Linked DNA regions of Caenorhabditis elegans. The protein of the gene in region 2 interacts with the protein of the main gene of each other region in a biochemical or structural test. Each region holds a gene or a part of one and is shown on either strand. Other genes may lie near its edges.

Region 1 (10,914 bases), on a different chromosome or scaffold from region 2:
GGTTACCATCAGGGTATTATTTCTGAAATATATGAGCAAAGATTGAAGAATCTATTCTCAAAGTAACTAAAAGTTATCGGACTTCAAAACAAAACTCTGAAAACTTTTTGTTAGTCTAAATTAAGACAAGTCTGGAAGAAAACTGTCGTAATAAAATTTCTGTTGGTGTTTTATTGGGTAGTTAAAGATTATTTTAAAATTTTATTAGATGTAAAAATTATGTGGGGAGTAGTTTTCTTCCAATAATAAAATTCGTATTAATTTAATAAAACAAACATGTAGACACAAAGGGAGTTGTTATTCGCGCTTAGAAGAAAGCGACGACAAAAAGAAGACATGACTGTCAAGTCAGTAACCAGTAAATCTTATTATGTACATAGCAATGGGTATGTACTTGCAAACTGATGCATCGAAATGATACCAGCTTCACTTATAAAATAGTCAAAAGAGTTACACATTCGGTGTTCGGTCTCGGTTTAGCTTAAAATTGGAGAAGCAAGAAAAAGTGAAACCAAAAACTCATCTAGATAACATAGCATATTCCGATTGGGCAAAAAAGCACTTGCTCCCGGTGAGGCTCGAACTCACGACCTTCAGATTATGAGACTGACGCGCTGCCTACTGCGCTACGGAAGCGGCGACTCAACGTGCTGGTAAAGGCCTACATGAAAAATACATGCCAAGGAGCGAGAGACATAGAGGGAAGGGAGTAGTGTGAGAACGAGCATTGCTTTTGAAGAGTTTGTAGAGTTTAGTTCAAGCGTAAGATTTATAACAGATCAGCTTGGGTAGCCTGCAGTTTCTTTAAAACTTTTGATTGGCAAAATACAACCAAAAATAGGAGTTGTCAATTAGAAAATAACTCGGCTTTTCTCGTAAAATAAAATAGAGTTATTTTTCACCGAGATCTACTTTAAAGTCACTCTTTAAGTAATAGTCGCACAGATAAATATTCAGATAGGTCTCGCCACGAAATCTCTAGTTTCGATGCGAAACTCAGAAATTGGTACCATAACCTTTTCTTCGTGGCGAGACCCATCCAAATGAATCCGTGCGCCGTTAAGTACGAGTTTCACAAAGTCGTAAAAATTGGATATCAAACTTTGAAATCACGCAGTATGGAAATTACAGTTTGTCTGTGAAATTGCTTTATTGAACTTGGATGAGGAACAAAACGAAACTTCGAATTACACATATTACTGTCATGACGTGACAAAACAATGATTACGGGTATACTTTTCTAATGACTCAGTGAAACGTTTTCTAATTATTTCTGTCTGTAGAACCTTACCCTCCTCTCTCTTTCTCTATGTCTTGTCATATCTGAAACGGGTAACATAGACGTTGTTGCGAAAAGCTGGGGGTGATGCATGGAAAATGATGAGGAGAGAAAAAGAGGAGACAATTCTAATGGCAAACCGTCTTCCGCGGCGACACGGATTCACCCTCCTTCGATCCATCAATTGCGTCGTCCGTCGGCGTTTTCTTGGACAACAGTTGTTATTCATTCAAAAAGGGGAAGAAGAAGAAGCGTCATTCAACATGAAATGCAACATTCTCTGAAATCTCTCAATTAGACCGGTTCCCCTCAGTTCCCTCATTCCGAAACCCCTCGAATTTGAAGATAAAGTTCAAACTGTAGATGTTAGTGGAAAATCGAGAGAATCAAACTATACACCTGATTGTAAAGGAATCGACAAGATCCTTCTCAATCCTATTTCTTGTTTTTTTTTTCAATGTTTGACTTTTTATTCAGGATTACATATGCAACCAGTAGAATGTTACGGCGGAATTTCGTCGATTTTCTCATTTAAAAATTTTTTTTTTTTTCTTTCTCATTTAAAAAATTTTATATATTACAAAACTAAAATAAAACAACTGAAAACGCATATTTAGATTTTTTTAAACAAAAATCGTGAGAGAAACCACGAAGAATCGAAGAAAATCCCACAGCAACTAAGGCTAGAAATTACAGTACTCTTTAAAGGCGCACTTCCGTTTGTATTTAACAAAAATGTCGTGTCAAGACCGGGTACTGTATTTTTGGCGCAAAAATCTTTAAACTTTGCGTTTGCTTAGTAAAAGTTGTCTTATATAAGTAATTAATTTATGAGGGGAACAACAAGAAACAACGACAAGGGGAAAGGGCTTAGGGAACAGGGATAAAAAGATAAGAACGTGGGAAAAACATCCAAGAAAGCCTTTTATAGGGGATGGGACCAACAAAACAAATAGACATTGGGTCCAACAAAACAAGGGCGAGAGGAAACGGGAAAATATTATATCAAAAAGAATATAACAAAGTAACGAGTTACTGTGGACGAGACGCATCTGTGGTTGATCAAACGGTGGTCGTAGGTCTACCTACGCATAGGTGAAGAGGCAGGTCTGACGATGATGCGCTATCGATGGTCTCTAGATCAGGGGTGAGCGGCAATCGGCGATCGCCGATCGCCGAAAGGGAAAAACGGGTCGGCGATCGGCGATTGCCGATGAAATTTTATAGTCCAAGATAGACCCCTCTGAAGAAGGAAGAAGGTATATTTTCGGACTATTTTTCACTACTTTTCGAATTTTAAGGTATCAAGGAGTGCTTTTCGTTGCCTAATATTCCTGTTTTTATAAAAAATTATTTGAAAGAGCTCTTAAAATTAGGATTTTAAAATTGAAAAAAATTAGACGCACACTGATCGGCAATCGGCAATTGGCGATCGCCGATTTTTTTTTGGCAATTTGTGATCGGCGATCGCCGAAAAAAAAATTTCATCGGCGATCGCCGATTTTTTTGGCCGGCTGCTCAGCTCTGCTCTAGATCTCTAGAAATCCAAAATTCAAGCAGAGAGCAAAAACAATTTAAACTATTGTATTTTTGATTTCATATAACAGTTTATGTCCAACTGTTACAGTAAAGCAGATCCCATTGGCATAATTTGAGACTATTTGGAATCGAACCTGTTTGGATATAAAATAAGTGACGGAAACTGTTCAGAGTGGCAAGTAATTAAACAGAACATTTGTTACTTTGCGACCGTGATCTTTGTAACAATCATGTTCAAATAATTGTCTCGGAATCAGTAAATATTATACACGCTTTTTCGAAAATTCTGAAATGGAAAGTTGAGGCAGATGAGCAGCTCAACTTGATTTTTCCCAATGTGCTGCTATCTACCAAAAATGAAATTGTCGAGAAAGTTTGGAAAAATGAAGAATACAGTTTAATAATCATCGGTACGTTTTATTTCGTGGGACTAATACCAAAAAAAGATGATTCAATTAGCAAAAAGAAATAAAAACGCAAAATAAAAATCGCCTCGCCCATGAATACAAACGAATGAAAAAGGGCTACAGCGGGTCTCATCAGTATTTACAATGAAATGAGCTACGGGAGATCGAGGACGGGGAATAAAGACATGTTGGATGCTGAAACATGGGACTAAAAGGGTCGATGAAAAACAGCAACAATAAATGAAGAGTACGGGTTAAATGTATAGAATAATACTTCTTGGAATTAATCAGGAGATGTAAGCAAATTCATGGAAGTGGCAAAGAGCACATACGGATCTATCGACGTGGGTGAATATTGGATCCACTTGCCGACTGGGGAAGGTGCGATGCAGCTTGATTTGGTCCTCGTGATCCTGCCGAAGCTGAACGAGCAGCTGCCATTGACCGTGGCATATCCGGTTGACGAGCTGGATTCTGGGATACAACGTTAGCATCGCTCATCAACCTTTCGATCATTGTCTTCGCATACTTCAGTCGGTGAAGGAATTTCTGTAAATTATACGTTATATTTGTTGATACTGAAATGGCGATTCAAACCTCTGGACATCCATTGCGCTGAAGATTGTTCAGCTTGTAGGTGAGCATACGCTTGTTTTGATCGATGAATGTAACTGCTTGCATTAATGGGCACATCATCATCTTGACATGATCCTGAAAATTATATTGTTGGGTGTTTCCATTAAATTATGAATTTGCTTACATTGAAGAAATTTATCTGAACAGTTCCATTGGAAAGGTGCAAAACAATTGCTGATTTGGTTCTGAACCAAACTCGAAGCGTTGGTAAACGAGCCAAGTCATCACCAGCTCTTTGTTCAGATCCTTCTCCAGCTTTCACCAAATGGTCATTCATGTAGGATCGAAAATACTTAAGCAATGTGACTTTCTTGTTGAGCAATCCAGGCATTTCACCTGAGTGCATCGAGAAGTAGTGCTCTTTGTTGCTCTTCTCAATATAGGTCAACTCGTTTCCAGCTTGATCAAGCATGATACGAGAATTGTCATTGAAGAGAACTCCGACGGAATTGTCACATAGTTGATATCCGATGCCATACTTGTCCGAATAGTCAACCCATTTCGAAATCCAGAAAACCGGGAGGCACTCTGGTGATTGATAACCATCAAGAGCAGCTTCTTCTTCTTCCAGCTGTAACAAACTTTTAATTTAAAAAAAACCTCTTGTTTATTCTTACCCCTGGAATACGCTGCTCTAAGAGCACAGCAACTTGGTGGAAAAGTTGTGAAAGGTATGCATCCTCGGGCTCCCGGAAAGTCGCCTCTGCAGCTTGTTGTTGAGCACGCTCACGATCGGCATTGTTCGACACGATGTGTTGTGGGAGGGCAGACAATCCAGCTCTTCCGTTCAATGGGCGTTGTGAACGAGCATCAACCCCTCTTGGAGCAACATTTTCCTCCATCATCGAAGTTTCGTGTCCTCCGAACTTTGGCACCATAGTGAGGCAGGAGACTGGAAGTCTAGTCGGCATGAATCCTGACTTGAAGAAGCCATCGCGTTGAACCTGTAGGGTTTTCATTCCGAGTTGAAGAGATTTCATAACTTATTTAAATATTCGAACTGATTTTTTAAAAATTGTTTTCGATCTCTTTACTAATTAGAACGAAGGGCAATCAAACTGAACGTGAACTATCTCTCAATAAAAGTTCACGATAAAATTCAAAAGTACAAATTTTCTAATGATGAAACTCGAATCTCCGATAATACTAAAATGATTTTCACTCCAGTTCAAAACTATTGAAATTACCTGCTTGGCAGTCGGACGACGTGTTGGCTCAGGATCAAGCATCTTGCGGATTAGGCTTGCTGCTGGTTGTGTTGCGATCGACGGAATGGTGTAGTTGTTGTGGCGAATGCGTGAGTATGTCTCTTCAAGCGATTTAGACTCGAATGGTGGTTGTCCGAAAAGAAGAATGTACAGAATGCATCCAACTGCCCAAATGTCAACTTCAAATGAGTGTCCAGCTTTGTTCAAAACCTCCGGAGCTATGTAGTTTGGCGTTCCACACAACGTTTTCTTTCTCTCATCACCGTTGACCGTTGTTGCTAATCCGAAATCTCCAATTTTGACAACTAGATCATCATTGAGGAAAAGATTTCCAAGCTTCATATCACGATGAATGATGTTCAGATCATGCAAATACAGCACGCCATCCACAATTTGATGAGTGAAATAACGAGCTTCAGGTTCGGTGACCGCCTTTCTTCTTTTGTGCAACTCCATCAGCGACCGTCTTGCACATAACTCCAAAGTGATATACACGTTGAGATTGTCCTCGAAGAAGTTGAATAACTTCACGATATTGATGTGTCCAAGCTCTCGATGAATCTGCACCTCTTGTGTCATCTGAAAAATCGTAATATGCACTGAACTAAGATTCGTTCATTGTCTACCTTATCTCTCTGGTATTGCTTGACGAGCATCGACTTCGGAACCACTTTTCCAGCGACAACCTCGCGTGTTGCTCGATTCGTAAGCTCATAACAGTGAGCGAATCCTCCCTTGCCCAAAAATCGTCCTTTCTCATAATAGGTCCCACGATCCTTGTCGGCGATGAGAGCGGGAACCTCTGGTGGAGCCTTCTCCTTTCTTTGGTTGGACTTTTGTGGGGGTTTTGCAATGTTGGGAAGTCGATTCATCTGAAATGCAACACAAAAATTAAAATATTCAGTATTAATAATTGAATAAACGTTTTTATTTCTAAAAATGACAAGAGGCGAGCTGGAAACTTGAAAAAGAATCGGTAAAAGTCATTTTAGGACGAAAATGGCGGACGGCAAATTCGAATGTTGATGCTTGGCGGGCGCAGGTCTCGCAGCGAACCGTGTGTCGATTTACGCGCCGATGAAAAAGGGTGCTAAACAAAACAGCGCGCTGTCATCGATCAAACATTTTCTGGTCAAACATAAATATCACGGAGACATTGATTTAAAAAACGGTTTTAAAAATTGAAAAATTTATTATTCAATGTACTTTCTGCAATAATTTTGTACATTAATGTTTTAAAAATTAGCAACGAACCTTTTTGGGCTTGTAACAGAACATTTGCACGTGTGTTAAACGATGCCAGATGTTAATAAAAGAAAAATTAATTTTAAATGGATTAATACGTATATTTTATGGCGTACGTAATACATTTTTACCACGTGTCTTCCACGTCTTACCGTCATTTGGAGAGAAGGCAGCTTCTCTTTTTGGATTAGTGGTAAGTTTTCGTGGTTTACACGCCTTTCTTTGACGATTAAAATGGATGGAAAGAGATACTATAACAATTTTATTTAATACATGAGATAGGATATTTAGCTTCAAAAACACTATATTTCCAAGACGGCATCTCAAAACATAAAATTATGAAAACGCAACAATGTTATACGGTTTGAAATTGTCAGTTGAATCTTTCAAAACCAGCAAGGACGTTTTCTTGTTATTCTCATCTGGAACACTGTATACATCAACTGGCTCGAAGCACTCAGTTTTGACATCAAAGCGCTCTCTGAAATTAATTCTAGTTTGCCTAACATCAGTTTTCTGCTCACTTTCTATCATAATTCGTACACTTCAAATCTCCTGTGACTTTTTCAACATTCACGTGTTTAGTGAAAAACCATTCTAGGACAACAAATTGATCATTTAAGCTGAGACGTTTCTGAAAAATAACAATTCTTCATTCCATGATGATTTTCAATACCTTTATCGCATGAGCAACTATATTTTCATCAATTCTGTCCGAATAAAAAGAAAAATTTGGAATTGCAATACACAATGCTAGAAATTGGTCGGTTGAGAAAGAACAGTGCTCCATAATACTCAGTGTTTTGCAATTTTGGAACTGAAAATGTATTGTACCAAAAATATTCAAAAATAAACATACTTACATGTGGAAGATCAAATATCTTGGACGGAATATCAAGTGGATATTCTCCATGAGGAGCAATACACAGCTCATTTAGAGAGTTCGGATCAACTCTTTCAATCCACCACTCCAACATTTCCAGAGATTCCATTTTTAGAAAAAGCCTTCTAACGATGATTTTTGGAATGTTCAAAAGCTCATTCGAACTACAAATACATTTGCTTGCTTTCTGAAATATCAAAATACGCGGAATTCAGATTAATTTTTTAACTACCAAGTCTATAAAAAGCTCGTCAAGCCTATAATTACAAGCTTCCAATCTTTCCAAAAGAACTCCTGAAATTTCAATCTCCGGAACTTGGAGATCTTTCATTTTTCCTAGTCGACTTGTATATACAATTGTAATCTAAAAATTTATGATTTAATTAAAATATTATGAGGAATGTGATTATTTTCAATTTAAAAACCTGTTCATCACCAGAGCTTATAATTTTCAGTGAATATCCTGAATCTTGCATTAAATTCTGGTCATTGGTCTCTTGATATTTCCCACGACAGTTGTATTTATTCATTTTCTAAATGAAAAAATTTCTAGTTTATTGCAAAGATCGAGTCAAACTATACCTGTTTAATTCCACACATCCGTGATAGAAATCCCTTAAAAAAGTAAATTTTCTTGAATAGCAAATCTACCATTAAAAAAAGTTAAATTAATTAAAGTTTTTAACTAACCCGATTTTCAGTAGATTTTTCCCGAGACTTCCAGCTGTAAGAAGGTTCAAACCGACGAAAATTGGGTTGCAACATTTTCTGAAATGTGCCAAAAAGAGATGAATCTGAATGTTTGTTCACCAGTGGGTCGGCGATTAAGAAAAAAGGCGAAGGGTTTAGGATATTGGATTTTGATTAATTTGAATAGAAAAAACGATGAAACAATGGAAGAACTATCCAAATAAACATGTCTGTGAAGGGTGTTACGTCAACTATTGAAAGTTGTTGTAAATATTTACATCTAGGTAATCTGAAAGATTGGGTTAAAAACTAAAATTATGTGGTATTTTGAAAAATGAATCTCTATCAAATTATATATTAGCTGTGAGTCAAAAATGAATATTTATATTCAAATTGAAAACGTAAAGCCTCGGCGCCGCGGCGAGTCACGAGATATCGAAAATTGAAGTGGGACAACCTACTAATTATGCAGCAGGAAAAAGGAACTCTAACAGAAAAGAGAAAGAAGGAAATGAAATTTAGAAAATAATGAAACAGAGAAGAGAAAGTCCAGACAGATGAAGGTATAAATGGCTCAATGAGTAGCTTGAAGAGACCGCCCGACAACAAGTGAAGCCAATTGAAAGAGTTTGAGAGGCGGAAGAGAGATGAAAAAATGCACGTTTATAAGGAATATGGGAACATTTTTAATAGAGGAAAAGTCTAGAGTTCGTGAGTTCAAAAAATGAACCATTTTTTAAATTTCAAAGAATGACGCTTTAAAACATTTAAGGTAGGCACGAAGGCAGGCAAGTTAACTTTTTGCTTTCTGACAACCAAAATTACTGGAAGTTTATACTACTGGCACCTCACAGTTTCATAGTGCTAAAATTTCCGAATGGCATAGTAAACTATTAAAAAAATTATTGAAATGTTTTTATTTTCAGCCATAAAGTGGTGAAAACTCATTGTTCTCCTGTCATAACATTTGGAAGTCGGGCAAAAAAAAAAAATATTTTAATTGCGTTCCAATTTTTTGTATTTCAACATTTTAAAGGCTCGAACATTTTTGAAAATTTTGGCAATTTACCAAAACTTTAACAATAAAAAGTCCTTGTGACCGACGTGTTGAACTTTTCATTCCAAAATTTATACTTTCAATTAAATCCACACGTACAAAGTGTCCACATTTTTGGCTATTTGATTCATTTTTCAAAATTCACTTGATCTGTTTTGTAGTATCAAGTAGTATTTTCAATTCAAGCGCAAAATGCCGGGAGACGTTGGTGAAGAGACGCTAGAAATTGGAGCGGTTGTCGGGAAAAGATACAAGGTGAGTTGCGGGAATTTGCGCGTAGATTATGGTGGTTTAGTAAGTGAGTTGGTCCTGCCAACTGGCATTAATCAAAATGTCAAAATTTAGTTGATCTATAAGAGTACTTAAGGTCGTTCAAAAACTAGGTGAAGGTGGTTGTGGCTCGGTCTTCAAAGTTGAAGACACATCGGAGAAGGGTCAACACTATGCACTGAAAGTTGAGTTCAAGTCTCAAGATGCTGGTAACATTCTCAAAATGGAAGTCCAGGTAAGATTTAGCTTATAGTTAAGGGTCTCAGGTCGTTGTTATTCAGATTCTCTCCCAGCTCATTTCGAAAAAGCACGTTGCAAAATGTGTGGCTAGTGGGAAGAAGGAGAGGTACTCATATATGGTTATGACCCTTCTTGGAGAGAGTCTCGATTCACTTCTTAAGTAGGCTGTCTAAAAGTGAAAAATTATTGAAATAATTGAGTTTCAGAAAGCACGGACCTTTTCTGAATGTTTCCACTCAAGTTAGAATTGGTATTTGTATCCTTTTCGGAATCAAACAGGTTCATGACGTAGGTGAAGTTGAATGATATCAAACAAATTTTAACATTTAGATTGGATATCTTCATCGGGATTTGAAGCCTGCCAACGTGGCAATGGGTTGTGTGAGTCTAGAAATGTATAACCATCAATGAAGTTTTTTACAGAAGGGCTCAGCTGACGAGAGATATTTTCTCGTGCTTGATTTCGGATTGGCCCGTCAATACATTGCCGACGAAGACGATGGATTGAAGATGCGTCGTCCACGTGAGAAAACATATTTCCGTGGAACCGCCCGTTATTGCTCAGTGGCGATGCATGACCGTTATGAGCAAGGAAGAGTTGATGACTTGTGGGCTTTGGTGTACATTTTGGCGGAGATGAGATGTCGATTGGCATGGCATGATGTTGATGATAAGGTTAGAAAATACAAAATCTTTTGTTAAATTCCATGATTTGCAGGTGGAAATCGGTGAAATGAAGCGAAAAATCCACGACGAGGTTCTCTTCGCAAAGAGCCCCGTTCAAATGCTGAGCTTTGTGAAAACTGTTCGTTCCACTCTGTTCTATCATCGTCCAGACTATGAGAAGCTATTCAAATTGCTTGAAGATGTCATGAAATGTGCCAATTATAAATGGTCCGACCCATATCATTGGGAGCCAGAGAAGAAGAAAAATCCAGCATCTCAAGGGAACAAGTTTGGATTGGGAAAGAAAGGTAACACAGCTTGAATTGTCAAAAATTAATTTTGATTATTTTTAGGAACAAAAGAATCTGGAGAGCTCCCAGAAGCTTCTTTCTTTACTGTGGATGACTTCAACACTAACCCACTTGGATTCTAGAACTGAACTTGATTTTATTGGTGTATTTGAAATGAATAAAAATTTATGAGATTTATTTTACTACTCAAAAAATACTAGCGGCGGTTATTTAAAACTTTTTTTGTAGGATAAATGTAATCGAATAGGAGTGCACTGTATGGGATACTGTAATGTTAATGGAGTATAATTTTTATTCACTCCTCATTGCTGAATATTCCTGAAAGAGAGCCAATACAATTCAGTTTCAGTTGACATTGACGATTGATAAATTCGAATGTTGGTATCACAGCGATCAGTCTGTAACCTAGTTTCTCGACATTTTACGATACTGTCAAACTAGGGGGTTTAGGAAATTTCACATGTTAGAAACGTAGGCATGCGG
Region 2 (13,647 bases):
TTTGATGAAGAAGATATACGAAGAAGAGAAATTCGGAGAAGTTCAAGTAAGTTGATATTGTAGACAATATTCGGATCCCTAAAACGTTTTTTTCGTTCTTTCCTTGTTTTTTACTAATGCGAATAATATTCTACAAAAATCCCAAGGACCATCTCTATAACTTTTAAAAATTCAGAATTATCAAATGTATGTACTCCAATCTCTTGTCATTTTCGTTCTTCAATTTGTTCCTGGCAATCAACGAATATTCAACTTCTTCCATCTAAAATTGTGAATGAAGCAGCTGGTGAATCAACTTTGACATCTTCTCCAGTTCGTTTACCAATTGATGCACCATCTTTCATTCAATTACAAATGTTTAATAGTCAAGGATCTGTGACTTCTTTATCATTTCGAAATATTGGTTCAATGAATGAAAAAGTGATATGGACTGAAAAAGAGGATTCATCAATTCCCGATTCAACTGGAACTCAAAATGGATGGAATCGAGTTTTAATTTCATTGGAATCAGTTCCAAAAGGAATTCCAGTAATTCTAATTCTTAAATCTATAACTGGTGCAAACGATTTTGTGGCTTTCTCCTCAATTGATCTCGTCGATGGAGAATCAAAGACTTTAACGTGTGGTAATTTATTTTATACTTTTAGTGGTGCATTTCTGTAGGCATTCCAGGGGCGTTTTCCTGTGGTTGAGCAGAGGCCGAGGAAAGTTGTTCACCCTCATTTTTTCTATAATATGAAGTTACAAAGGTTCAAATAAATTTGTACCGGATCAATTAAAGATAGAGTATCGTCAGTGGGGAAGTTGCTTATTCTAGGATAAAAATTGAAAGTTACAGTACCCCAAAGTACTTTTTTAGAAATTTTTCAACTGTCTAGGTTTGGAACCTACTATAATGCTCGAAGTAATTCATAAAATCTACATTTTTGGTTAAATTTGGCAAGTTACCGAATCAATGACAGAAAATTTGGAAACATCTAAAACGTCTTTGGAGTGTTTCATTATTATATTTGGTTATTTTGGAAGTGTATTTATAGAAAATCACCAATGACGATATTCTACTTTTGAACTGGTGGAGACGATTTGGAAAAATTAAGTTGTGCGCCAGAAGTTAAACAAATAAATACTGTTGAGTTTCTCATAAATTTTAGATAATTTTAGATCAAGTGACGTCACCAGTCCAACCACAATCCAATCAATTGGTTCGCCTGACGGCTCTTCAGAATCTAAAAATGTTACCGGTAAATTATAAGAAATTTCGTTTAGCCAAGAAAATAATCTGAAACAAATATTTTTTTCAGATTGAATCAATTCTTTATCAACCACCAATATCAACAACTTCACCAATTTCATTGTTTCCTATTCCTCCGACTCCTTCAATTTCATTTAATTCAGATGAAAAACCATCATCTCTAGCTTCTCCTGTTGGAATACTTCCTATATCTCCAACTCTTGTTTCGGCTCGTGGAATCCCAATTTTCCCAATCACCTCTTTTTCGAACCCTTTGATTCCGCTTAGCAATGCAAGACTGCCCTTCCATTTTTAATTATTACTTCTAACTAGGTTTTCTGTATAAAAATGATAAAGTCAATTTAATATTGAAACAGTTCACTGTGAACAAAATATAATAACAATAAAATAAAAGATATGAATTATGGATAAAAAATATTTGAAAATCGGGATTTGGGGGGAACATCGAATACTCGTAAACTGGGGAGTGAGAAAACGGAAATTAACCAAATTAGAGTTCACAATCATGATACAATAAATTTAGAGATTGAAAAAATGTTTAGAGGTGGAAAGAGACGAAAGAAATAACCCTAAAACTTCCTGAAAGTGGATGGGTGGGACTTGAAATATGTTTGGAGATATAAGTGTAACAACAAGGGAATACAAAATTCACATAAACAACAAAAAGTATGAAGGGATTTTAGTAAGACCAAAGTCTATTGTCTCCACCTGATCCCATTTGATTGCGAAGACGATCGCGAGCCGTCGGAAGGGATACTTGTGGTGATCCAGCAATTGGCGTTGAACGAAAAACTGGTTCGCGAAGACTCACTGGAATTAATTTATAAAAACTCTGGGCTGATAGAGAAATTAACGCACCATTTGTGCTACTCAAAGAGCTCGCCATCGATGTTTGATGTGTCGTGTTATTGAGAGTATTATCACCAAATGAGCCAGTTTTATCGAATACATTCATCTTAACATAAATTCCGATAACTAGAATGATGATTCCGACAAGACAAGTCCACAGCAACGTTGGAATAGCGTGAGAGTACTTATGTGCAAGAATCAGAAGAACATCTACTACCCCACGACTTTCAAGTGCTGAAACGATTAGGAATTTTATTGAATCCTGTAGTTGAAACTTACCGTTGTATACTTGTTTAGCAGTCTCATCCAACAACTGAACAGTGACAGGAACACGAATCACTTGACCAGTCAACGTGTTCTCAACAGAAATTTGGCATTTCTTTGCATGTTCAGTGAACAGAGCTGCTGATTTGATGTTGAGACGGATGTTATAGAACACATTTGCCTTTGCAGAATGTTTATCACTTGATCTTGAGGTTTTCTCGACCGATACAATATCTCCTTCACATCCAGAAACGACTATGTGCTTCGAGTCGTATGTAGGCGCCCAGATGGAGAGAGCTGCTTCGATTTGATTCATATTTGAGAATACGAGCTGGAAAAAGTAAAATATTAAAAAAAAACTTCGTGTAACTGACCTCCTTCTCCTCGACAATAAATGCGAAATGGAATGGAACATCAATTGTAGCATCATTTACTTGTACTGTACCATCTGAAATCCATTTCGCAGTAATTCTAGCATCAAATTGATCTTTCAATAGTTCCTCGGGAACAACAATTGATGAAGTTGAGACACTCGAATCAAATCGACGAATTTCACACCCATAACCAAAAACTGGGCTGAAAACTGCTGAAACCGTCAGCCAATTGACAGCCGAAATGATCTTCGAACGACGAGTGAAAGCAACTTGACATTCAAATGGAGCACCAATCGCATCAAATGATCGAATTTGATCAGCAGTGCACTCTGAAACAACAAAGATGAGGATGAAATGTGAAACAACAGCAAATCTCACCTCCATAAATTGACGAAACTTTGCTTCCTGAAGTATTATTGGTTGCAGCAATGACAGGAATTACGAATACCGAATGCTCATCATTGCTCACAAACTCTGGTTTCTGACCATCAGGGAAACGAAGAGAAGATGGCAATACAACGGAGATCTTCGAATGAATTGTTTGTTTATCAGCATGAAGTCTGATAAAAGTATTTCCAGCCTTTGTGAGTTGTGCAACTCCGAGATTCTCATCGAGCCAACTGATTCTTCCTTCACTTGAACTTTGAGACGACCAGCGAGATCCGTCTACAGTGAAAATGTTTGATTGAAGACAAATCACATCAGATACAACAAGATCGTTTGCATACTTGTGAGCAGCTCGAGGAAGGATTGATTCAGACGCAGAAAGACGAATAAATGTAGCAATGTGGGTATTTGAAGCATCACCAATTCTGAGAACAGTATCTCCAGCGGTTTTCAGTGTGATTGTCAGTGTCTGATTGCTGTTGGTGGCGACAATATCGGTCAAGTCGAATCTATAAGAATACCGTGAATATCTTGGATCTTAAAAAAACAATTTTCAAAGATCGGAATTTTCCTTACCTATGTGGTCTGAAATTGATACTGTTGGAGGCAGCCGCAAGACGACGACCTCGAGCATCACGTGGAACAACGTTTAGCTGGATTTGGGCTCCAACAGGAAGATGTATGAGTGGAGAATTCTCAAAAGCACTTTTAAGTTCAATTGTTGGGTGAACATCGAGAGAAGCGACACGAGAAACCTGAAAAAAGGGAAAAGTGAATCTACAAAAATATAGCGTTTCTTACAGTCACAGGAATGAGAACAGTTTCATTATCCGGGCTGTTCACATTACGAACGGTAATTGCAGCTGATCCTTCTTTTCCGTTTGTTATCAAATGACCGTCCGCAGAAATGACGATCCGGCTCGAGAAATCAGAAGGAACTGAGAAAGATGCTTGAGACCTGTAAATAATAAAGTTGAATTAATGAAATTAGAGTTGTTTAAAAGGAGAACAATCTGCAAAAATATTCACTTACCATGCAGTGACCATCTTCAATTGAGAATTTGGCGCCACTCTGACAGTATTAATATCCATTTCTGGTTGAACTAATGAAAGTCCATCTTCCACTGTAATTGTTGTTTCAGCGGTGAAAGTAGAGGTTCTTCCAGTGAAATGCTTTCTTGCCTTCTCATTAAGCTCAACAACCGCTTTCACTGTAACCGATCCTCCTCGAATAGCATTGAACCAAATGGCAAATTGATTATCAGTTGGTTCGACTACATCTCCACCGAGGGGATGAGTTGTGAATAGAACAGATGGATCAGAAACGCTCCATGTTACTTTGAACGGGTAAATGGCTCCACCAAAAGCAAATGGTTCTTCGTCTTCAGCTCCGGCGATCACTCCTGAAGAATAAAAAATAATTAATTTTTTTGAAAGAAAAGTGTCACATACCTCTTAATCGTAAGTTTACTCTTCCACCAGTTTCCACTTTCCTGCTTGACGCTGACAGAATAATTCCACCGAGAGAGGCAACACGAAGAACAACAGTATCCAAGGTAACATGACCATCACCAACACGAACAGTTCCGGTAATTGCTGTATATCCAAGTTCTGACGACGTAATAAGTGCATTAGGCTCAATGGATGCAATCATTGAATTATTCAAGGAAAAATCGAGTGGTGGCGTCGGTTGAGGACCTCCAACGACTTCTAACTGAAATTTGGAGTCCGGAATCAAAGTCAATCTTTTTGGTTGCAAGAAAATAGGAGAGAAAATCTGAACGGTGTGTGGTCTAGATGAGAGTACACGTCCTGATGAAGATTTTGATGATGCGGACAGCGATACAGTTCCAATTGAGTTGGCACGAAGAGTGTAGCGAAGTCCGTCAACTTTGGTCAAAATTACATGATTGTTACTTGCATCGAGTTGAGCGTCAGCAAGTGGACGATGTTCTTTTTCGAATGAAGCTCCAGTTTCGTCTTGAGCCAGAATCTCTACTTCAACTTCTTGTCCAATTTCCACAAACTGCGGTGCGTCAATCGCCAATGAATGAATATCAGCAATTCTTACGGAAGCATCGGCATGTTGCCCAACCAAACAAGCATCAGAAATACGAAGATTCACTTGTCCATTATTCTTCGGCGTAACTGTGAGACTTCTTGCACGGAGAGCAATTGCAACTGGTGAATCTGATGTTGGCAGATTATCGACATGGAAATGGCCAGATCCACCAGTTATAGTGAACGTTCCTTTTGAGACAGCTTCATTCCAAAGAACGAGACGTGCTGGTTCGACGTTCAATCCTTTTTTCACTGTGATTTCATATTTAGTGGAGAGAGATCCAGCTTGAGCTTGAATAGTAACTTGGCCTTCTTTCTATAAATATATTTATGTGAAAAAAAACTTAGTTTTCAGAATCAACTCACCTTTCCAGAAGTCGCATCTGCCTCAATTCCATGACGATTAACCGTCAAAAGACCAGAATCAGAAGTAGTCCATTTCGGTGAAAGCCCGTTGATTGAGGCCAACGGAGTTGCAGCTCCATTACAAACTCCTGATCCACGGAGAACGAGTTCTACATTTGTATTGATAAGCATTGAATGAACATTCAATGGGCACTTGGATGGACGTTGTTTCTTGTCAAAAATTTCAAGACGAGTTGGCTTTGCGCAACAAATCGAAACTGTAATTTCAGAGTGAATTGGAAGTGGAAGCGTTGACGATTTGAGGTTTCCAATACGAAGACGAACAGCTTCTGTTACTTCTGAAGATCCACACTTGAACAAAACTTTTTCGTTTTCAAATGTGACTTGAAGTTGCGATTGCTTTGTTTCTTGTGTTTTGTAAAAGTTTGCTGGATCCAAAATCCACGGTCTTGGTCCACCAGACACAGTCAATGGGTGAGTACTTCCGAGTGCAATTGATGAAGATTCTTCGGAAATAGACAATTTCTCGTAGACTGCTACATCGATGCTCGCTTTGTGGCCCAAATAACTGATGGACACTCGGGCATCTCCTGATGACAGTCCTTTGAAAGTTATTGTTCCACAACCAGTGCCCATCATTGGAAGCGACGAATCAGCTGAAGACTCGTGCCGAAGCAACGCATTATCCGTAATTTGAACATGAGCACGGATATTTCGACAATCGGACATTTCAACTAAAAGTCCATCAGATGTGAGTCCGGTTGCCTTGATATTTAATGTAAGAGTATCTCCGACGAATGTCTCACGGACAGTTTCTCCAAATCCGATTCCAGACACTTCGAGAATATGAACACTGGCAATGTCACGAAGCTGATCATTTCTCTTATCAGTTGCTTTCACTTTAGTGCTTCCTAATGAATTCGCAGTCATTCTTCCAGTTAGCAGATCCACCGTTGCCACGTGTCCATCTTCAGAAGTCCACTCAAACAATCCACTGCCTCCAGTTGCTGTTAGATCAATTTGTGATCTTTTCTCAGATACGAATGGCAAATAGATAACCGGTGGAACAATTCTCACAGGATCAACGATAGTTACTCGCTGCTCTCCGCCAATTTTGCCACTTTGTGCAATTCGATTTCCCTTGGCATCAATAATAGCAACAAATTTGGTTCGAAGAGTAGTTTTTGAGGGTTTCAGTGGAGTCACAAGGAACCAGGTACCATTCTCAGACTTGAAATCCACATGAAGAAATTGCTCATCGATATGAGTGTCGAAACGGGAATTCTGAAAAGTTGTAAAATTTAAAAATTGACAGCTGTTTTTTGTTCAATTTTTCAGAGCTTAACTTACATCAGCAACAAACATAACATTTCCGTGCTCATCAAGAAGTTCAACGTTGATTGTATACTGTTTTCCGGTTTCTAGCATCCAATTATCTCCTGAAACATGCCATTGGACAGATTCGGCGTCTACCACATGAATGACAGTAGATGGTGGACGTAATCCAGCTTTAGCGCGCACATCGACATCTGAAAAATTCTTTTTGAACGAGAAACATCCATTTATGCAACTCACGGCTGCTCAAGAGATGTACTGCAGTGTTTCCAATCGTCAGAGCTCTCACAGATGAACTTTTTTTATCGAGCGACGCCACATCACCACCATCAATTTGAAGTTCGTATGACGGATTAGGCATGTTCACTATTTCTGTTCCACGCTGCTTGACAATTAAAACTTGGAATGGAAGAACTGAGTGAACTGGCAAGTAAACATCTTGAGATGGAACCAAAAGTAAATTTGCGACGACGGCGAGTTCGACGTTGTGCGCTGCTACTTTCTGAAAAAAAAAACATCCTAGGTAAATGTAGTTTTGCAGATTGCTCACCTGCAAATAAGCATCACTGAACTTGGTTGTCAATGTGGCTGTTCCTGTTCCAACACCTTCAATCAGAATTAGATATCCTTTCTTTCGATTCTTTTCCAGTTTAACAATTTCAGAAGGAGCTTCATATGTTGATTGCTCGAATGGAACAATTCGTAGTGGTTTCGCTTTATTTGAAGATGTTGATGCAAGCTCCCATTCCAATGCAATTTCACTGAGAGTAGAGAATCGATCGCCATCGGCGTTAAATGCGTCAACAGTCATTCGAGCAGGGGCAGCGTCCACGAATAGAACTTTCGTTGTTGTTTCGATGCTAATAGTTGCGATCTCATCTACTGTCACGCCGCAACTCAATGTTGTGCCGGATCCTTAATAAAAATTTTAAAACCAACATTTCACAAAAATTATACCTTTATCTTCTGCAAAAATAACAGCAGACAATTCCGAACTTCCAACAGTTCCAGGCTTCGCAACCGATCGAATTTCAGCTTTATCCGAACATCCAGCTTCGTTAGTTTCGATACGTTTAACAGAGACAATATCGGGACGAGTAGATCTCCTGCAATTAAATATATTAAAAAATAATTAGATCATTTCATTGAGTTACCATGTAAAACAACCTCCGGTTGGATGCGTTACTTCCAGCACAAATGAAACTGGGACCGTTGGATGGTACGGTAATAAAACTCGAGGAACATTTAGCCGGTATGATATTGTGATTTGCACTAAAGCCAAAACGAGCAGTGATCGAAGTATAATCATTGATCTATTCGGCTCTCCTACCTACAAAAAAATTAATGAAAATTTCTCTTATGGAAAAGGAAAACAGGTGGAGATGAGAGAAATTTATGTATTTAATATAAAAGTTAAAGTTAATTAACTATAGTGATCATGCATTAAATAAATAGTAGAATAAAAAATAAATTTAGCGATAACTCAGATCGGATTGAAGAAAAAAGAAACTGAAATTCTGCGAAAAAATTCAAAATTATTTCGTTGTACGCAAACACGGCGCGGTTCTTCACGACAATGAACCAATTTGGTGACCGTAGTTCATAATTCTAGATTCGGAATCTGAAGAAAAAGCGTAATTGGGGAAAAAACATGAAAAAACATGAAATTAATACCGTGAAATAAAATGCGCTTTTTTCCTTCTCGATCAAAGATATATTCATATTACCTCAAAAAAAATTTTACCTAACAAATTTGCTCGTAGATCTCTTTGTTATGGTTTTTTCCTGATATTTTCATTTCGACACATATTGCGACAACACGTGTTTTCATCAGCAGAAATTATTTGACAGTTATTTATTTTAAGTTACTTTATGATATTTTCAATAAAACGTGCTCAGAAAGTGCACAATGAGACGTTTCTTCTCGAGTTTCTATGTCTCCAAGACCCGGTTTACGAAAACCCGTGTTGTCTCGAATTATTGCAAGCGCGCTCCACTGCACTTCCATTTTTGCGCGAAGAAATGTTTTTGCAGTTTTCCTTGAATTTTTGTGGGGTTTTCAGAAAAACACTTTTAAAGGCACAATTTTGTATTTTACGTTAAGATTTTCCTAACACGTTCTTTTTTCCAATATTTTCAAGCCAGAACTGTTTTATTTCACGACAATTATTGCAGGATGGCATCGTTTCGTAAGAATCACGTCATTATTGATTCCTCAGACTCGTCGGAAGACGAGGATCGCAAGGTTTGTTCGAGTTTAACATTTGAATTTTGCTTTAAAATTATTGAATTTCAGGAAAGACACAGCTCCTCATCTGAAGTCGATGAAACAGCTTCAATGAGATCAACTGATAGCTCCGAGCCGCCCAGGACAATTATTGATGCCTCTCTGAATTCCATGGCTTCAACCGTGTACACATCAACTCCAAACTCCAAGCAGAGCATCTCCAGAACCGGTTCCTCCACCACCTACGGGAGCTCTAAATGCTCCACAGACGATCACTATCGTTCGAGAAGCTTCATTGACAACAGCTTCGAAAAACCAGTGACCCCGATCACCAAGAAGCTACAGGAATCCGATGAGCCCCGCGCAAAGCAGCAGCTCCGTGAGCGGCTCCTCAGAAAATCCATCAAACAGCAATCGGATCAAGATCTGACAGGTGGCTCATCGCGAAGTGGATGGGGAACTGGTGAAAATAGCAGTCTTGAAAGCAGTGATCTCATAAATTCGCATTTTTCGCCAATTGCGAAGACGTTCCGGCATGCTTCCGATTTGGATGATTCAATGGTAAGAATGGGGAAACATTGACCTAAAGCTGGCTCAAAATTCAAAATTTCCTTTTACTTTTTTCCGATATTTATCCAAAATTTCACATTTTACTTGCCAGAAATTATCTAGAAAACGATTTTTCAAGCGAGAAAATCACTTTTTGCAAGTTTTCAAGCCAACGTCTGACGTGTTTAACCAATTTTCGCCCAACGGAATCGGCTAGTGCTTCGGTATGTGACATAGTAAATTGATATTATTATCTATATCCTCTTTTTCGATATTTTCACAAAATTTCAGCTTTATTGTCAAAAAATATATAAATTTACAGAATACCTCTCCGCCGCCAAACCGTTCAACTCTTCCCTCGGTTGAAACAAGTTCTGGAAATTCTCCACAAACACCGTATCCAGGTTCTCCTGAAGCTTCTCCTCAACCGTCTCCTCCAAAAAATACTGCTTCAGAGCTCCAAAAGTTGAGCATAAAAGAGCTGGAAGCAAACAAAGATAAAAAGTTGAAACTTTTGAAGTTTTCATCGAATTTGCCGGACAATGGAGCACGTGTGAAGCTACAAGTTGATGAAATTACTGAAGAAATTGAACGAAGAATTATCAATGGAGTGACGGATACCATGGTGGTAGACAAAACCACGGCTATTCCCCCGCCACCACAGCCAAAAAACTTGATTGCTCCAATTCCACAGGATTTCGCGGCGATGTTGGACAAGAATGGGCGAAAAGTGATGAGCGGGCGGATGACAGAGCAGAAAATTCTCAAAGTCAATAAGATTTCCGATCGATTGATGCAACAGCTCGCCGAGTTCGTAAAAATTTTAGTTTCTTAGAAAATTGAGTCTCAGTTGACGGCTTCGTTCTATTTTACGAAAAAAAAAGAGTATTTGTGGATTCTGAGGGAACCAAAAGTTCTTTAAACTTTAATAAGCCACGCTCACAAAAATTGGCGTGGCTTGGAAACAGATATTTTAAAACAAATTTTTTTGATTCTTACAGTTTTTTTGAAAACAGTTCCCAAAAGCTGTGTGGATGCCATGCTGAAAAACTTGACCATAGAAATTTTAATGATAGAAAATACCATATTTTGGCCGAATATAACTAAAAATACAACTTTTCTTGTTTTCAAAAAACATTTTCGGTTTTTCTGCGTTGTTTTTGTGTTTCAATTAGCTATTCGAATAAGAAATTTTAATTACAAAACGAAAACCGGAAAACCAATCAGTCGAAAAACGGCCAAGTCAGACATTTTTTAGATTTTTATTTGAAATTGTAGAAATATATTTAATTCAATTTTAACAGTCATCATTTGAAACAAAAACCCAACATAGTGCTTCTCCTTCAAATTATAATCTAACAATTAATATAATTTCCGTAAGAAAATGGTCTTCTCTAAAATTATCTCTTCTTTTTTCAGCGCAACTCACACAATCCCAGCTGAAACAGACCTCACGGACACACCCGACGGGCTCCTCGTCGAGCTAATGCCTCACCAAAAAGCAGGGCTTCGCTGGCTTGTCTGGCGTGAGGGTCAACCACATTCGGGTGGGATCCTCGCAGACGATATGGGTCTTGGCAAGACTTTATCAATGTTATCATTGATTGTGCATCAGAAGGCAGCGAGAAGAGCACGGAAAGAGTCTGGAGATAATGCCGCGGATAAGGAGAAGAGAAGAGTGGCAAAAGAAGAAGGATTGTATCCATCAAATGGCACATTAATCATTGCACCAGCTTCACTTATTCACCAATGGGAAGCTGAAATCAATCGAAGACTCGAATCAGATTTGCTTTCCGTTTTTATGTTCCATGGAACAAAGAAACAGAGACAAATTGAGCCAAAGGAGCTTGCAAGATATGATGTCGTCATCACCACGTACACATTGGCAGCCAATGAGCTTATGGAGAAAAAGGCGGCTGGATCCAAGAAAGAGGAAGATTCCGACGATGAATCAGGTACGAATTTTAAATCTGAATTCAAGCTGAATTTTGATCACAATCCGATTTCCCTGGAAAATGAGTTATTTGTTCCAAAAAAACTATTTTCTTTTCAAAAAAAGTGGGAGTTTTCGGGAAAAATATCTATTTCAAGGAAATGTATTATTTCTTTTAAAAAAAGAACTTTCTGGAAAGTATAATTTCATTCCAATTCAATAATCGATTGCTTACAAAAACGATTTTGCTTTTGTGAAAACTCAGCATATGTTTTTTCTAAAAACTCTATAATTTGAAATGCCAATGTTTTTAAATAAATCAGAAATTTGAACCCATTTTCCGCGATTTCATTAATTTTTTCCAGAGAACGAAGAAAATCCCCGTCGCCCTGCTGGCAAAAACGACTCCCCTCTTGCTCGTGTCGCTTGGTCCCGTGTGATTCTCGACGAGGCTCATGCCATCAAAAATCGTCTCTCCCAATGTTCAAAAGCAGTGTGCCGGCTCTCATCATTCTCGCGTTGGTGTCTCTCGGGTACTCCGATTCACAATAACCTATGGGATTTGTACAGTCTCGTGAGGTTTTTGCGTATCCCGTTGTTCGGCGATCGGAAGTTCTGGGCCGAATCAATTATGCCAATGAAGACTGGAATGGCGGATCGTGTGAATTTGCTGACGAAAAATTTGATGCTCAGAAGAACTAAGGATCAGCAGTGCGCTCTGACCAATAAGAAAATTGTAAACTTGAAAGAAAAGAAAATCGAGATCCATGAGTTGGAGATGGTTGGAGATGAAGCCAATGGCTATGCAATTATGATGGAGGCGGCACAAAAGCTTGTTAAGCAAATCGTCACTAATACTGATGATATTCAAAAGTACGGTCAGATTCGTAGACGCAGACAACGAGGAAATGATGATGAATTCGCGAACCCGTACAACGTCGGGCCACGGAACTTGGCGGGAAACTCGAATTTCCAGAATATGTCATGCATTTTGTTGTTGCTGATGCGTCTTCGTCAAGCGTGTGTTCACTTTCATATCACCAAAAGCGGAATGGACTTGGACGCATTCAAGATTAACGGAGGAGACGACGAGGATGCTGATATGAAAGAGTTGGAGAATCTTATGGAGAAGACAATGGCGGATTTGACGATTGCCGATAGTGATAATGATGAGGAAGGCGTCGATACAAATAAGGAGGAGCCAAAACAACCACCCACGCGAATCTTTGAGCCCGATTTCATTAGCTGCAAGATGGCCAAAACGCTGGAAGTTGTTCGTGAAATTTTGGAGAAGAAGGAGAAAGTGTACCTTTTTTTTTCTTTTTGAGGATATACTATGAAATTTCAAGATAGAAACACTGACATTCTAGTAATCAGAACAGTTAATTTTTTTTTTTGAAAATAAATCAATGTTAAAAATTATTCAATTTGATGATGCAACCTGGATATGTCCCGAAGAGAAAATCCTTAAAACTACAATAAATGTTCAAAAATCAATATTTCCAGTGTGATTGTCTCCCAGTGGACTTCTGTGCTGAATCTTGTGGAAAAGCATATTCAAGCAGGCGGCCACAACTATACATCAATCACCGGCCAGGTTCTTGTCAAAGATCGCCAAGAACGAGTTGACAGTTTCAACCAGGAAAAAGGCGGAGCTCAGGTGATGCTGCTCTCATTGACTGCCGGAGGTGTTGGACTCAATTTGATTGGAGGAAATCATCTGATTATGGTTGATTTGCACTGGAATCCCGCACTGGAACAGCAGGCTTGTGACAGAATTTATCGAATGGGACAGAAGAAGGAAGTCTTTATTCATAGGTACTTTTTTTAAAAATCATGTTATGTGTCTAAATACTATGTACATATTTTTAGACTAAATATTTCAAAATTTTGCAGATTAATCGTGAAGGGGACCATCGAGCAACGAGTCATGGATCTCCAGGAGAAGAAGCTCGCATTGGCAGCTTCGGTGTTGGAAGGAACAGCGACCCGAAAATTGAACAAGCTCACCACCGCCGACATTCGTATGCTCTTTGGACTAGACGGATCG

What was found.
Region 1: the proteins of npp-12 (region 2) and plk-1 interact in a test that uses a peptide from one of them, tested with the Caenorhabditis elegans proteins (one study listed by BioGRID).

What each region holds. Positions count from the first base shown.
Region 1 is NC_003281.10:8,096,375-8,107,288, reverse strand, and holds plk-1 (Serine/threonine-protein kinase plk-1), read right to left. Parts: upstream 5,942-10,914; coding exon 5,696-5,941; intron 5,649-5,695; coding exon 5,049-5,648; intron 4,806-5,048; coding exon 4,479-4,805; intron 4,433-4,478; coding exon 3,986-4,432; intron 3,937-3,985; coding exon 3,823-3,936; intron 3,775-3,822; coding exon 3,562-3,774; 3' UTR 3,220-3,561; downstream 1-3,219. Other genes in the region: K06H7.1 (uncharacterized protein), read right to left, coding at 6,651-6,795, 6,839-6,948, 6,991-7,131, 7,178-7,384, 7,430-7,561, 7,623-7,730, 7,780-7,812, 7,888-7,962; K06H7.8 (Putative serine/threonine-protein kinase K06H7.1), read left to right, coding at 9,137-9,199, 9,312-9,449, 9,496-9,614, 9,661-9,742, 9,785-9,835, 9,878-10,129, 10,173-10,428, 10,474-10,553. UniProt on the Caenorhabditis elegans protein: Required for oocyte nuclear envelope breakdown before entry of oocyte into spermatheca. In meiotic cells, required for spindle dynamics and probably for spindle attachment to the chromosomes. Zygotic role in the development of the germline and nerve cord.
Region 2 is NC_003279.8:6,441,882-6,455,528, reverse strand, and holds npp-12 (BIG2 domain-containing protein), read right to left. Parts: upstream 8,226-13,647; 5' UTR 8,198-8,225; coding exon 8,043-8,197; intron 7,995-8,042; coding exon 7,846-7,994; intron 7,804-7,845; coding exon 7,439-7,803; intron 7,391-7,438; coding exon 7,129-7,390; intron 7,083-7,128; coding exon 6,904-7,082; intron 6,838-6,903; coding exon 5,554-6,837; intron 5,504-5,553; coding exon 4,579-5,503; intron 4,530-4,578; coding exon 4,160-4,529; intron 4,085-4,159; coding exon 3,928-4,084; intron 3,882-3,927; coding exon 3,703-3,881; intron 3,636-3,702; coding exon 3,118-3,635; intron 3,069-3,117; coding exon 2,740-3,068; intron 2,697-2,739; coding exon 2,381-2,696; intron 2,336-2,380; coding exon 2,111-2,335; intron 2,063-2,110; coding exon 1,932-2,062; 3' UTR 1,575-1,931; downstream 1-1,574. Other genes in the region: mam-8 (MAM domain-containing protein), read left to right, coding at 1-46, 176-625, 1,162-1,241, 1,302-1,547; T23H2.3 (Transcription termination factor 2), read left to right, coding at 9,065-9,133, 9,185-9,676, 9,987-10,474, 11,084-11,619, 11,963-12,902, 13,104-13,415, 13,494-13,647.